Oryzias latipes: one gene and its partner. The main gene of each other region encodes a partner of the protein of the gene in region 2 in a complex. Links are inferred from orthologs where the notes say so. Each region holds a gene or a part of one and is shown on either strand. Other genes may lie near its edges.

What was found.
Region 1: smarcc2 (region 2) and actb share a complex: the UniProt entries of both Homo sapiens proteins name them as parts of the BAF complex. The link is inferred for Oryzias latipes from reciprocal best matches to the Homo sapiens genes SMARCC2 and ACTB.

The regions. Positions count from the first base shown.
Region 1 is NC_019866.2:19,164,977-19,172,572, reverse strand, and holds actb (actin, cytoplasmic 1), read right to left. Parts: upstream 4,498-7,596; 5' UTR 4,429-4,497; intron 3,293-4,428; 5' UTR 3,286-3,292; coding exon 3,163-3,285; intron 3,071-3,162; coding exon 2,831-3,070; intron 2,504-2,830; coding exon 2,065-2,503; intron 1,994-2,064; coding exon 1,812-1,993; intron 1,729-1,811; coding exon 1,585-1,728; 3' UTR 949-1,584; downstream 1-948. UniProt on the Homo sapiens protein: Actin is a highly conserved protein that polymerizes to produce filaments that form cross-linked networks in the cytoplasm of cells.
Region 2 is NC_019863.2:4,303,031-4,310,882, reverse strand, and holds the start of smarcc2 (SWI/SNF complex subunit SMARCC2), read left to right. Parts: upstream 1-3,753; 5' UTR 3,754-3,788; coding exon 3,789-3,899; intron 3,900-4,559; coding exon 4,560-4,679; intron 4,680-4,779; coding exon 4,780-4,865; intron 4,866-4,992; coding exon 4,993-5,074; intron 5,075-6,178; coding exon 6,179-6,271; intron 6,272-6,391; coding exon 6,392-6,461; intron 6,462-6,544; coding exon 6,545-6,614; intron 6,615-6,922; coding exon 6,923-6,998; intron 6,999-7,852. UniProt on the Homo sapiens protein: Involved in transcriptional activation and repression of select genes by chromatin remodeling (alteration of DNA-nucleosome topology).

The sequences.
Region 1 (7,596 bases), on a different chromosome or scaffold from region 2:
AGGACATAAAATAAATAACCAAATCATTCTCCAACAGCCTTAGTGAAGGAAACATAACTCGGAGAATACATGGAATTTGGGGACTCACAAGCACTGGGAATTTTTTTGCTGGCATGGCAGTAAATAGCAGGAAATTGTCTCAGCAGAATAACGGTTTTTATGTGCATCTGAAGAAGGGGGAAATGAAGTGAAAACAGTTCAGTCTCTGGCCATGCATTCATACATCCATGAGTATTTGCAACTACTGCAGGAGGTTTTGCTCTATGCATTCAGGTCTTCCAGATTCAAGATTCTGCAGCAACATGTGTATCCAACAGCTCATTTTAATGTTTTTTTAATGCAGCACCACCCAATTGATCCTCCAGCTCAACTTGCATTTCCTGCAGCTGATCACATTAGGCAAGAAAACAGTGCAGGGCGATGGATCAGGGCAGGGTAGTCCACTTTTAATGCCACCTGAACGCAGGTCAGCCTCTTGCGAAGCAGTTTTATAAGGGGAGCTAGGAGTGCCACATCACAGCAACATGCTGAGCAATTGTGCCACAAATATTAAGTTTGGGGTTTGTTCAAGCTTTTGACCGAGCTGGGTTGCCGCTTTATACCCACAAGTTTCTTTGTAAAGCGATTGGGTATTTAGTCACTTTCCTCCTGTTTAACTTCAATAGTTAAAACTGTACAGCTTTAGTTTTAGTTGAACTGCCACTTCATTACCCCTGGATTCACAATAAATCCTCAGGTAAATGCAGTTTTCATTTTGTACTCCTGTAGTTTGTATGACCTAAGGTTTAAGCTTTAAAGAAACAATGGAAAAGCTTTAATAGGTACTTATTGTGGATGTAAATCCTTGTTTAAACTGCCAATTGCACTAGTTGGTAAAGATCAGATTTCAGATGCAGTCACTCAGTGTGTTACTGCTTAAAAATAAAGAGACCAAACAGATGCAGACATCAAGTCGGAACACATGTGCACTTTATTGGGATTGTTTAGTCAGTGTACAGGTTTGGCCCCACTGGTCTGGCACCCCATGTTACGCCCGTCATGAAGACCCCTTACCGCACCTCCCCAGAGATGAACCTCCAACAGGGGGAAGAAGGTCATGGTTGGGTTTTGCATAACAAAAGAAAAAAATTTGAACAGGACCAAGATTTAAGGCTGAAAGTACAAAAAACCCCAGACAAAATTTACATACAAGCAATACTACAACCATGTTTAAGTATGCTCAACCACTGGGCAGCCTTCACAGAGGCAAATACGTGTCTGAACAATGCAGTTTACATTTGGAATCATGTTTGAACGATGCAGTCAACAAACATTTGGAATGACTTAAAGAACAAAATGTACATTTAAGCCCCAGATGCAACTGCAGATGCCTGGGGTGTTTAAACCTAGCCAAAAAGCAAAAACATTATCTCCTTCATTGTTCCAGTTTTTTTTTTAAATCCTGAGTCAAGCGCCAAAAATAACTGAAGCCATGCCAATGAGTTGGTCGTCTAGGCCCTGCGCCTGAGTGAGCGAGAAATGTGTGGTGTGGTTTTGAACAGAGCTGAAGTTGTTGGGTGTTTGGCTGGGGAGGAGAAAGTCTGTTTAGAAGCATTTGCGGTGGACGATGGAGGGGCCAGACTCATCGTACTCCTGCTTGCTGATCCACATCTGCTGGAAGGTGGACAGAGAGGCCAGGATGGAGCCTCCAATCCAGACAGAGTATTTACGCTCTGGTGGGGCAATGATCTGTAGGGAGAGGAGGAGAGTTGAGAATGAGCCCCTTTTCCCCAAAGGAACAATCCAGACGGGAGACTCTTCAGAAAGCTCACCTTGATCTTCATGGTGGATGGGGCCAGGGCTGTGATCTCCTTCTGCATTCTGTCTGCGATTCCAGGGTACATGGTGGTACCTCCAGACAGCACAGTGTTGGCGTACAGATCCTTACGGATATCAACATCACACTTCATGATGCTGTTGTAGGTGGTCTCATGGATACCGCAGGACTCCATACCTGGAAGGAGATTAAATATTAGCATGGGGCACTCTGGGGTCTGTACACAAGTCTTTGGTTGAGGTACCTACCAAGGAAGGAAGGCTGGAAGAGGGCCTCTGGGCAACGGAACCTCTCATTGCCAATGGTGATGACCTGTCCGTCAGGCAGCTCATAGCTCTTCTCCAGGGAGGAAGAGGAGGCAGCGGTGCCCATCTCCTGCTCGAAGTCCAGGGCGACGTAGCACAGCTTCTCCTTGATGTCACGGACAATTTCCCTCTCGGCTGTGGTGGTGAAGGAGTAGCCACGCTCCGTCAGGATCTTCATGAGGTAGTCTGTAAGGTCGCGGCCGGCCAAGTCCAGACGCAGGATGGCGTGGGGCAGAGCGTAGCCCTCGTAGATGGGCACTGTGTGGGTCACACCATCACCAGAGTCCATGACGATACCAGTGGTACGACCAGAGGCATACAGGGACAGCACAGCCTGGATGGCAACGTACATGGCAGGGCTGTTGAAGGTCTCAAACATGATCTGCAGAGACAAAAAGCACAATGTTAGCATGTTACAAAGCAGCAATGCGACCACTCCACTCGCTACATGCATTAAAGTGGGGCTCGATCTATAGTTAGTACATGGTAAACATTCCTTCACACTTGTGCATGTCATTTTTAGGTGCTGATCTGTTACTCTAAGCCTCAAAACACAAGTGCAGATACAAGGCAAACTGTCAATAGACCTTTTGATGAAAGCTCATCTTATAGGAAGAAATCCTAGAAGAGGAGGATGGAGGAAGTATGAACAGAAGGAAACCAAGGTGAAAAGAGTATACATGTGCTCCACTGTGAGGTAAACGGGTACCTGGGTCATCTTCTCCCTGTTGGCTTTGGGGTTCAGGGGGGCTTCAGTGAGCAGGACAGGGTGCTCCTCAGGGGCAATTCTCAGCTCATTGTAGAAGGTGTGGTGCCAGATCTTCTCCATGTCATCCCAGTTGGTAACAATACCGTGCTCAATGGGATACTTCAGGGTCAGGATACCCCTCTTGCTCTGGGCTTCATCACCTACGTAGCTGTCTTTCTGGCCCATACCCACCATGACACCCTGAAAAAAAGTTTAAATTTACATTTAGTAAATCTGGAAACTTTTAAAATTAAATAGTAAAAAATTATAAAGGTAAACAGTTAGGAACTAACCTGGTGCCTGGGGCGACCAACGATGGAGGGAAAGACAGCACGAGGGGCATCGTCTCCAGCGAATCCGGCTTTGCACATGCCAGATCCGTTGTCAACAACCAGTGCGGCAATGTCATCATCCATGGCTAAACTGGAAAACAAACAAATAAGGCGTTAACACCAAAGACACGCCCATCTGCATCTGCTTTGCAGTCAGATGTCCCATTTCCTGTCAGGGAGCGGCAGTTCCCCAAAGTGTCCGCTTGGTGGAGGTAGAGCGCTACATTCCGAGCCCAGACAAAAGGAAGTGGTGCTGCATTCTCTTGTTACCATATAAGGACATAGTTCGGTTTTGAGCAGCTTTGCGGCTACCGGCAAGGCACGCGGCCAAAGTACAGCAAGAGGGGAGGGACTTTAGACTATCGGACCCGGCGACGAAAGCCTACTCCCACTGGTTCATTACAGCTCTACTTTGTCAGCGTTCCCTCCCATTGTTGCACAAGACTGAAAAATTTCTTAATCACTGCGTCATAATTTGTGCGAAGTCGTTGCTGGCATAAAGCACCACGACCCGTCAAGCTTTAGAAGGAAATTAAAACGTGTGCGAGCCCATGACTGATTAATCATTTCCTGAAAGCCACGCCTTTTCTTGAATGAATGATTTGTCATTTGCCCTTTTCTTCGCCGTCAAACTACAGTTACATGCTCAATTTAATCGAATACTTTTAAAATGCTTTAAGGGTTATTACATTTTATACAAACAAATGTATAACAGTCCCACCCCCCTACATGTGAGGAATCAGAGTCAAGTCTAGAAGGGCGTGTTAGCATGAAGCTAGGCTAATATGCTAAAGTAGGTCACACCCCGTAACGGCGCACAAAGGGACCCGCCAGGATCCAGACACCCTCAACTCGGACGGGTAACGTCCGTAGAAGGACTCGAAAAATTCCCCCCACCATGTAAGATACGAATAGTAATTTTTATTTAGTTGCTTATATAAAATATACAATTAAAACCAAACTGAAAAGCCATTTGCCGGTTACAATCAATTGGCACCTGTGCGTTTAAGTGGCTAATTTTGGTACAACTTGATTGATGCCAAAACAAACAAAATTGTCAATTTTAAAAAGATAATTAAAAGTTTAACCATTTCAGGCCTAAAAATAAATTTAGTGGCCACAAAATTCTGCTAATGGTCACCTCCAATTAAGAATTAAACTGCACAATTAAACAATCGTAAGGTTTCCAAAACATTTGAATTAAACCAAATATCGTCTCTATCTTACCTTTGGGTGGGGGGCTTTTCGTTTCAAGGGAATCGGTTTCAGGCGAATGATATCCCGCACAAGCTGTGTGTGACGGCGCTCAGAGTGAATTTGCTAGCCGTGGGCACGTGGTATTTATAGTCCGTCCGTTGCCCGGCTCTTTCCATAAAAGGTAAACTTTCGGAATCGCGGCATGTGATTGGTCCAGCGTCACTCACTGGGGCACGTCGGGTGCACGCTGTGGTGCACTGAGCGTAGAAAGAGGGAGGCGATAACAGTAACGGGCTGGGGGAAAATAAAAGGATAGGGATTGATGTGAGGCCTAATCTAAGGATATAATGTTTCTTGAACAAATATTAATACATATAGAGTTTACAAAGTTTCAAATATATATAAAATATGAACCTGTATAAAGCTTTCGAGCAAGTCCCCCTGCTTATCTGATCATTCAAACAGCAGAGCACAGGCTGCTCCTCCCTGTGAATACTTTTCCTCTTAAAACCTGTCTCTCAAGATTTCAGTCTGGAAATGCAAGATATGTTTGATGCAATTTGAGGACAATTACAATGTGGATGTTGCTGCACACTCTGGAAAGCAGAATGCCACCTCAGATGGAGTCAGAGACCCTCCAAGCCAAACACATGACTCACAAAAGACACTATGGACTGTAAAAGTGCCCTGTCAGAGGATGGACAATAACCACTTTTCCCACTAAGCAATGGTAAAAACTCAATCTCACTAATACCAATTGACCATGTATGGCATTAGTCTGGATTCTTGTTAACTTCTCAGAGCTCTTGCTACTTCCTCTTTCCCCTACAAATGAAGAAAAAAGGTCCACATAAGAGGACACTAAGGCTGACTTGCATCTACTTTTAGTCATAAATGACCTATTGAGTGAAAATAACCACTGTCAGACCCAACCCATACGCTACTATACATTCACCTTAATCGATTAAACTCAGAGAGAGACAAATAAAGTCACACATGCTCTTATTTCCTCTCTGTGGTTTACTGCAAAGGGTGTAACTTTCCTGACTTTGGGTTTTATAGGCTTAGGGTTCTTTGCTTTTACCTTACTTGTCTTCCATTCATTAGTTTCACAGTTTATTTAAACTTTTTTTGCTCCAGAAACATAGCTGCCCATACAAGTTAAATAACCCAGAGGCCATTTAAACATGTCACTGTCTGCGAGACACAAGCAGCAACTACTTTTCTTCCTCTTGTACCACTTCCTCTTCCTCGCTCTCAGTTACACCAATTCTTTTATGCTAAATGCCATCTCCTCTTCCTTCAATTCATTCGTGGCTTTAAGTTTTAAATGGTCTTTATTTTCATCAACACATTTCCACTTTATACATGGAAACGTTTCAGCTTTTTAATCAAGTTTCAAACAAAACATGCTTCATTTCCTTCTGAATTAGCAGATTCTTGCATTTCTGATCAGCAGACCTAACTTTTAAATGTCCATTTTTGTTTTGTTTTATTAACCCGCTGAAATAAAAGCTTCTGCTTGTGGGGTGAAACAGTTCTCTCTCGAGAGTTGTATGTAAATAATTCTTTATGTAAGAGTTTTAAATCTCTCATAAAAAACAATCTCATATGGAATGAATCGTTCTTGTCGATCAAAGGCCAACTCACTGCATTTACTTATTTACAGGCCTGTAATGAAATCTGTAACCCATTCAAGGTGCGTCCATCTAAAACACATTTTTATTTCTATTTGTCAGTATTCTGGGAGGGCGGGTTCTGGTAAAGTTAAGAGCACACTGGAAGGACTGACTGCTGAAACTGGAAAAACACAGACAGGGGTTGGCTGGGAAAGGATGTAATCCTGCCTCACAGGAGTGTCCCTTCGTAGTAGGCTCCTTACGTGATTGCAGGTGAATGAATGTATGTGTCAGAGTTCCAGCTCATCCAGCTGTGTGGTAGGTGATTTGCAATCACTTCTTATGAAGCATTATGGCAAGTTCATACTAAGATAGTTCTACAGACATGATTCAAATGGGCAGATGATGTTACCTTCTAAATTTGATCTGCTTTTGCATAAAAAAAATACTTGACTTTGTTTGAAGGCCAGAAGTGGGCAGTACCAGGATGAAGGAAATAAAAAAAAACAAAGAAAAGAAAACCAGTCCTGCTAGTTCTCTGACCATCATGGATTGATAAGTGACTTCACCACTTTACCACAACACATCGTACAATGGGACATTCTTACAATTCTTTCATGATCTGATCTTCTTCCAGTTTGTGATTTTTTTTTATTCATGTCACATACTTTTACTGCCGAGTAGTTTGTTTTCATTAACACTATTGCCACACCAGGGTTCACCTGCAAGTGAAGCGAATCCTTCTTATCAGCAGTATTAAATATCGTGCATTTGTTTTGAACAATTCTCAGATGAGGTCAGAGTAAAAAAATGAGCCAGATCAGTTCACCAAGAAAGCACTAGCTGACACGTAAAACAAACCAGTCAGACCCCATTCACTTCAATGTAGAATGACCACCCATCAACAGAAAAAAAACTGTCTTGGTATGTTTTTTCTTTAGCTCTGTGGTTAGATATAATATTCATGACCACTGTAATTGAATTCTTATGCAGCTTTTTTTTTATTTTTGACTGTTCGATTGACAGGTGATTGTCATATGCAACCAGTTGTGATCCAACCATCAGCTGTTTGTCTTGTCTTGTCCCTGCAACAGACTGGCCACCTCTTCAGGGTGTACCCGCTTTCGCCCAACATTGGGTTGTTTCCAGCAGCCCCGTGATTCCTACAGGGATTCATAGGGTTCTGAAGATGGGTGGATGGAGGTGAGGATGATGATGAAGCGGAAAAACTGACATTTCTACTGCGATGCTCCATTTTTAATGCAATCATAGGTTCACACCAAAGCTCAGACAACTTTCCACACTTGCAAAAAAGAAACAGAGCATTCAAGGAATCAAACCAAGCAGCACAGTGTGATCGTCTTTTCCCGCATTAGGACTAGAACTTGAGTGGAGTTTTTTTTCTTTCCTTTGCTACCCTTCCCTGGAAGAAAGTGAGAGGTCATGTCGTGTGTTGTCAACATTCCTCCGTGGGAATGACTCCAAGTGCTTGGAAAACTGTCCTGGAAAGACTCCTGCTCATGTATCACCAAACTCTGAGTGTGTTTTTACACTCTGAGTTAAACTGAAGCGTCACTAT
Region 2 (7,852 bases):
TGGTCTGCGGTTGTGAGGCCGGTTGGATGTGCTGCCAAATTCTCGGAACCGCCTTTGGAGACGGCTTATGGTGGAGAAATGGACATTCAATTCCCTGGCAACAGCTCTGGTGGACTTTTCTGCTATCAGCATGCCACTTGCGCGCTCCCTCAAAACTTGCGACATCTGTGGCAATGTGCTGTGTGATACAACTGAAGATTTCAGAGTGGCCTTTTCTTGTGGCCAGTCTAAGGCACACCTGTCCATTAATCATGCTTTCTAACCAGCATCTTGATATGGCACACCTGCGAGGATGAATGGATTGTCATGGCAAAGGAGAAGTGCTTACTATCACAGATTTAGACAGATTTGTGAACAATATTTCAGAGAACTGGTTATTTTGTGTATGTGGAAAATGTTTCACATCTTTGAGTTCATACCATAAAAAATGGGAGCTATAACAAAAGTGTTGCATTTATATCTTTGGTCAGTGTATTTAGCAGAAGCCTTTTTAACATTTATGTTCATTTTCACAGTGTCACGTGTTTCAGAACTCGTGAGTGTTTGTCCAAAGTTAATCAAAATTGGTCATAAAAAAATATAATTTCTCTTAATATTTCAACATTTATTGATGAAAATAAAACAATAGTTCAGATACAAATCTTAAAAAGTTTATCTTCCGGCTGGACGGAGTCGGAGCTCTGACATTTTTTTTTTCTGCTGCAGAAATTTTAAACACATTGGTCACTACACTGACTTAAATAAATACAAAACCCTGTTTTATTTTAGCTGCTTTGCTGCTCCTTCTGGGTTTAACTCTGAGAGAAATGGGCCAGAATGGTTGAAAACGCCAGAATCCCGTTCAAACAGAACCAACGCAAAATCCAAAGTCCTTGTCTGCCTCCAAGCACCATCAATATGAGACAGAGACACCTGATTGGTTAGAATCTGGACCAATCAGCAGCTGTTTGATGGCAGCTTTGTCATGTCAAACTGAAACTTAACTCAGCAAAATCAAAGATAGAAACAAAGTGAGATGACACACAACGCATGCAAAAACCTTTTGGCGGTGGCAATAGTGGCAGTTTTATCACGCTAAGTCGCGCTCAGAGTAGTCAGCAAAATCAAAGATAGGAAAAGTGCGATATTTGACACAACGCACGCAAAAACATGCATTTTGCAAACGCAAAAAACGTTTTTGAAAGCAAAAAGAATTTTGAAAGCTAAAAAAAAGTTTTTTAAAGCAAATAAAAATTGAAAGCAGAAAAAAATCTCAAAGCAGAATCAAAAATTATTGAAAAGCAAATATTTAATATTTTCACTTGCAACTTAGAACTTAGTTTTGTGTGCAACGTGGTGGCAGAAGTATCACTCCATATGCTTTGGCCTTGGCTTTTCAAAATTTCTCTGCTCCAGAAAGTCAAATGCAGTTTTAAAAAGAAGGCTGCGACATGTTGTCCTTGAGGGCTCAGCCACACTCACCTCTGGTATTCCTACTCCATCCCATTCATTCATTCATTCATTCATTCATTCATTCATTCATTCATTCATTCATCCATTTTCTATACCTATTTATTCCCGTTTGGGGTCATGGCGTTGCTGGGGCCTATCCCAGCTACTGTAAAGTAAAGGCAGGGTACACCCTGCACCAGAGGTGTCAAACTCCAGGGGTTGCTGTGAGTAGTGAGTGAGCAGCGGCTGTTTTTCTGTCTGACTGAGCACCGTGTTAATGAAGCATAACTAGGATGTGCAGCAATCACATCAAGACCTGCACCGATACGATGGACGAGTCGTGACCAGACCCTATGAAGACTCTTAAATATAAGCATATCTTAACCGTATGAGTCCTGCAGTTATGTAGAAAAGAACAATTTCAGACGAAGAACATAAAAGCATTTTTGCTGCATCTTCATCTGTCTGATCTGGTTTTGGATGTTGGCAGCTTGTTACATTAAATAGGATTCCATACCTGACCAAGAAGAATAAAGGAAAAAACAAGAGGACAGCATCCTTGAACACTTGTGTACTGATGTGTTGTTTCGGACAGCAAAGGAAATGTTTTTTCAAGGTGAAGAAAAGGATCTCATCCTGGCTGCTATTTAAATCCCAGAAGGACGATACTGTCAATTTAATGAGCTTCACATTGTGAAAAGTCAGAGTTTTTCAAGTTCACTGCAGCTATGATTTGTGCAACTTCTAAACAATTGACAAAATAATTATACTTATGGTGTAGATATTGTGATATGAAGAAATGGCGACTCTTTAAAGACCTCTGTGATGTGAACGACGCACAAGTGGAATCATGTCCACTTTGTTGCCTTAATGTAATAAAAAAAACACAGACAGTATTGTTAAAACATCAATCATGTTAACATCACTCAATACTTTTCTTATAAGGTTTAGCTGAGCTGTAAGTATTGTCTGTCGTTTCAAAGAAAAACAATCTTTGGAACTTAAGCATTTTTGGAGGTACTGTTTTTTAAGGAAACACTGCCACAGGACACTTACTGCTTTCATATAACCGATCATTTAAGTCCTGATTTATTTTTCTGTTAGTACAGAGCAAAACATTTCACAGACACATCTGTTAGATGTCTTAATTGTGGCTATTTCAATGGATATGCATCATATTGACATCAATGCCTAGAGGCCTATCAGACCTTTTAGCAGACGACTTTCACACAGCTAATCATGTCACGGTCCCAAAATATAAACCAGCTGCCATTTTTCTTGATAAATAGGGTAATTATATAACATATAAAATAATACAAAAGGTGCATTAATGGTGGTTTTGTGTTCTTTAGAGGACGTCTTTCAAACTGTCAAGAATGCACCAGAGGACAGTATTCGTAAAGATGCATACAACAAGATTTTCAGTAAAAAAAGAACAATCTGAATGTGTCTAAAAATGGGATTACTTTGGTGAAAGTGACTGTTCAGACTATACTTGTTCAAGCATATATACTGTGGTTAGCAGAGGTTACATGGGTAGAAGCTCAGCCTGGTTTCTAGTTTGATTCCAAAGGACGTGCAAGCATTCAAAGCTACTGGTCAGTCATCACACATTGAGCTGGGGCCCTATGATTTCACAGGCGTTTGACACTGGTGACCCAATTTCAAAAGGTAACCCCTGCACCCACAACCCATCTATGACGTATCAGCCAGGCTTCCCATCTGATCCAGATGCTTTCTGGACAAGAGAGGCCCTTCATCAGTCCCAGGACGACCAAAGGTGGTTTAACATGTCACAGCTTGAAGGTTTCTTCATCTTCATCTCTGCCATTAGTCACCTTCCTCGCTGCATTCTGCACAGTGTCCTGGAAGATGTCAAATGACCAATTTTCCGACCTCGCTTGAGATATAAAGATGTTTTTAAAAGAGATATGAAGGACTTCCAGATAGATCCTGCTACTTGGACTGCTACTGAAGCGACAGAGGGAGATGGGACACCACCTTAAAGAGAGGTATCAAAGTTGTTGTATCAGACAGATTCTAGAAATTCTACTATGGAAAAACGTTTAATTTATTTTGGAAAACCCTGAGTCTGGGGGATCTGCTTCATAGGTTGGGAAGACTTAGTCTAAAGTAGGTATGGATGACCAACGCAAAGGAGAAATGCTTTTATAAACAATACACTGTTTTTGTTTTTTAACAATGGAAATGTACAAGGAAGGAAGCCAACATTCTCTACACCATTCCGCCACCTGCTGGATGCGGGCATTCATTACAGGACACTTGTTCAAGCAGCTGCAGGGACTAACTGCGTCCACTAGGAGGCGCGCAACACCGACAGTTGTCTGCAGGCAAAGATGGCGGTGCGGAAGAAAGACGGCGGCCCGAATGTTAAATATTTCGAAGCATCTGACACCGTTTCTCAGTTTGATAATGTCCGCGTCTGGTTGGGAAAGAATTACAAAAAGGTACTGTGGGCTTGTTTTTGTGCGCATGCTCACAGAGTTCTCCTTTTCACCCTCAAATGTGGGCACTTACCCAGTGGGCAGAGGCAGTGACAAAGAGAGGAGGGAGGGTGCTGCTGCTGCTGCTGCTGCCGCTCAGCGTCCAGCTGTTTGGGATACAAAAGGATGCTGAGCAAACAGCTGCAGCACAAGCGCGCGCTTCAGGCGTTCTGCGGATACACGTGACTGCAGATAAACTGCCACAAAGGCAGCGCGCGACTCTTACTCGGTGGACGGATTTGTTTTCTATAAAGAAAATACATGACTTTAGCCTGCTAGCTGGCTAGTTAGCTGCTCGGCTAACGGTGAAGCAGCGCAGATCCAGATGTTGGCTCAGAGGCACGTCTGTCTTGAATAACAGCTGGCGGGCCTCAACTAGGAGCTCTGACTTGACGAAGACCTCTCAAGTACTAATCATGAAGTAGACTGTTATTATTATTATTATTTTTACAAATATTTGAATGATTGATGTTTTTAATTAGAGCTCTTTTTCATGGGTGAAAATAAAAGCACTGACATTTCCAGAGTTTACGTGAATGCGGCATATCAGCCATAGAACTATGTCTACCAGAAATGCTGTGTTTTAGTGTTTGGTGTATTCCTAACTTTGCGTTTTGTGTCCAGTACATCCAGGCTGAGCCTCCCACCAACAAGTCTCTGTCCAGCCTGGTGGTCCAGCTGCTGCAGTTCCAAGAGGAGGTGTTTGGCAGACATGTCAGCAACCCCCCACTCACCAAGCTGCCGGTATTTGCTTCTCAATACTCATCATCTTCCTCAATGTAATGATGCTTCACTTTTTGTCCTCTGTAACCTATTATTTGAAGCATTTTCCCTCTTTCTGCAGATGAAATGTTTTCTGGACTTTAAGTCTGGGGGGGCTCTGTGTCACATCCTGGCTGCAGCCTACAAGTTCAAAAGTGATCAAGGATGGTAGGGGCTTCTTTCTAGCGGATGTTTTGAGGATTAGACCTGTTAATCCAGTGAAGAATCAAAGGTCTCAACTGGATTTTGGCCGGGTTTGAGTTTCGTGTGTAACTCCAGTCTAATTTCCTGGTAGGCGCAGGTTTGACTTCCAGAATCCATCGAGGATGGACCGAAACGTTGAGATGTTTATGACGATTGAAAAATCTCTGGTGCAGGTGAGTTTGTTTCAGCAATCGTTCTTCATGAATAGTTACCTTCTACACAACTTGCAAAAGTGTTTATTTTCTAATATCTTCAAATCTCTAAATTATTATTATTATTATTAAAAACTGTCAATTATTTACCTTTTACAATTAGGTTTAATTTAGAATTAAGGATTTGATTCAGTTTGAATGAAACTATTTATGTGTATTTATATTCAGAAAAACGATCCACGTTTATTGTTTTTTATGCAAGTCTGAATTAATGATAAAAAAAACATTGAGAGATTTCATGTTTTTGTTTGGTGGCTTCAGAATTTTTGAATATTTGCAGAACCAGTTTGTTTATTCTTTAAAGTTCCACTCCAATGAAAATTGTGTTGTAGTTGTTTTTTTACATGTTCTTGTGGCATTTTTCTGATGATGGAGCACATAGATAAAGAAAATTGAGATTAAAATTGAATATTTCTTTACTCCAATATTTGTAAAATACAAAAAAAAAAAAAGCAGTTCGAAAAAGATCTTGTTTGTGACGTAGAAAATATGCTGGCTGGGTCAAAATCTTCCTGCTTTGCTCCATTCTGATGCATCCACCTGCAGACAAATAGACCCATGAACGTCTTTGTTCTCCTCGCCTGAGCTGGAATCTGGATCAAAACTGGATGGCTGGATAGCTCTGATGTTGCTCACCATTTTTGTTGCACTGATAATGTTAGGTTTGGCTATAAGGGGCTGAAAGCTAGCAGGAGAGAGTGTAAACAAAGGGATGATGGGAAGTAGAGGCAGGCTTACTCCCTACAACTCAGATGTAAATTTTTAATGAACTCCTGCCGCTCTGCTGAAACTATGTCCTAAAAAAATGACACTTGTTTTTAGATTTTGGCCAAAAGGTGCATCATCATAATTAGAAGACCGCTGGGAACGCTTTGAAAATACATCAGAAGATGATCGGAGCAGGATTTTAATGACAAAATCTTTGTGATGTGACTTTCGTTGTCCAACCCAAGGACTTCAGGGCTCGTGCAGTGTCTTTATTTGCAGAAGCAGAGATGTTATGCTGAGAGGAAAACAGCATTTACATTGTAATGGTCATGTGTTTTTTAAATGTACTCCTTCCAGAACCACTGTCTGTCACGACCAGTCATCTACCTGAGCTCTGACATCGATCCAAAGCTGCTGGGGAAACTGAAAGACATCATCAAAAGGCATCAGGTGTGTTTGTCATGTGAATGTTATGCCATACACCTCAAGTAGGTGTTGCTTCATTTTTAGGGCTCCTATGGGTTTAAACCTGTGAATACATATGATTTACACTCTTTTCCTGATTTGCAGGGCTCAGTGGCGGAGGACAAATCAAACAGCTCCCATATTGTGGTTCCCATCCCTGCCAGTCTAGAAGAAGGTGAGGACTTGGAACTGGACTGCTGGATGGATGTTTCTTCTTCAACATGCTATTCTAACTCCAACCCCTTTTTTATCTTTCAGAGGAATGGGTGCGTCCTGTGATGAAGAGAGATAAACAAGTTCTCCTCCACTGGGGATATTTTCCAGACAGGTTGGGTTTTTTGTTGATGCTCGTGAGCCGGTACCTCCATGAAATGCACCTGAAAACTCCTTCTGTTACATTTGAAGTTAATCTGAGTCCATGACTGGAGCCGTTACCTGCATAAACACTAAAGTATCACGTCTAACTAAGCTCTGCACTGATCTCATTTGGTAATAATTGCAGTGTGTCTTAAACAGAAAGTGATTATCACATTGTGTATCTTACTTAACATTTCTGGACAACAAAGGAAACAGTCTACCTGTGTTTTTCTCCAAACGGCGTGATTGGATTGGAATTTTCTTCCTCCCACTGTGCAGTTATGACACCTGGATTCCAGCCAGTGAAATCGAGGCTGCAGTGGAGGATCCTCCAACTCCAGAGAAGCCCAGGAAGGTATTTTTTTTTATCTTTCTTTGAGTTCTTCATCTCATTTTTTAACATGTTAATAAATAATCTTGATTTGTGCTAAAAGGTGAAGTGTTTTTAGAAATGTAATCATCTTAAAACGATCATGGTGTTCACGTTACATCAGCATGCAGGCAGAGAGGTGTTCAGTCAGAAACCAGCTGTGCCAGCTCTCCTACTTCAGCAGCTGAGTTTGGTCAGTAATGTTCATCATAGCTTCACTTCAACTGTGAGAGACAGAATGGAAAAAAAACCTAAAAGAATCCAAGAAACCACATGATTTGATCTATAGTGAAATATTAGGTAAATTCCCCTGTAAAATACATATTTATCTCATACAAGCAAACAGCAATTCTGTTCTTCGCAGACTTGTTACTTCCTCTTTAAGAAGCTCTTCTGTCCTACGCTGGCTACCTGTATTAAGGGCTCCTGTTTGAACTGGTTATCTGTAGAAAAGACATTTGTCCACAACCTCCAAACTCTACTATGGCCAAGACCAAACGGCTGTTAAAGGACACAAGAAACTAAATTGTAGATCTCCACCAGGCTGGGACAGCTCAGTGTGAAGACATCAACTGTAGGAGCAATAATTAGAAGATGGAAGACATGTACTGAGAATCTCCCTCCATCTGGGGCTCCATGTAAGATCCCACCCCATAGGATCAAATCATCACAAGAATTGTGAGCAGAAATCCCAGAACCACTTGGGGGACTTAATAAAAGATCTGCAGAGAGCTGGGACCAAAGTAACAAAGGCTACCATCAGTAACACACGCCGCCGCCAGGGACTCAAACCCTGCAGGGCCAGACGTGTCCCCCTGCTAAAGCTGGTACATGTGCAG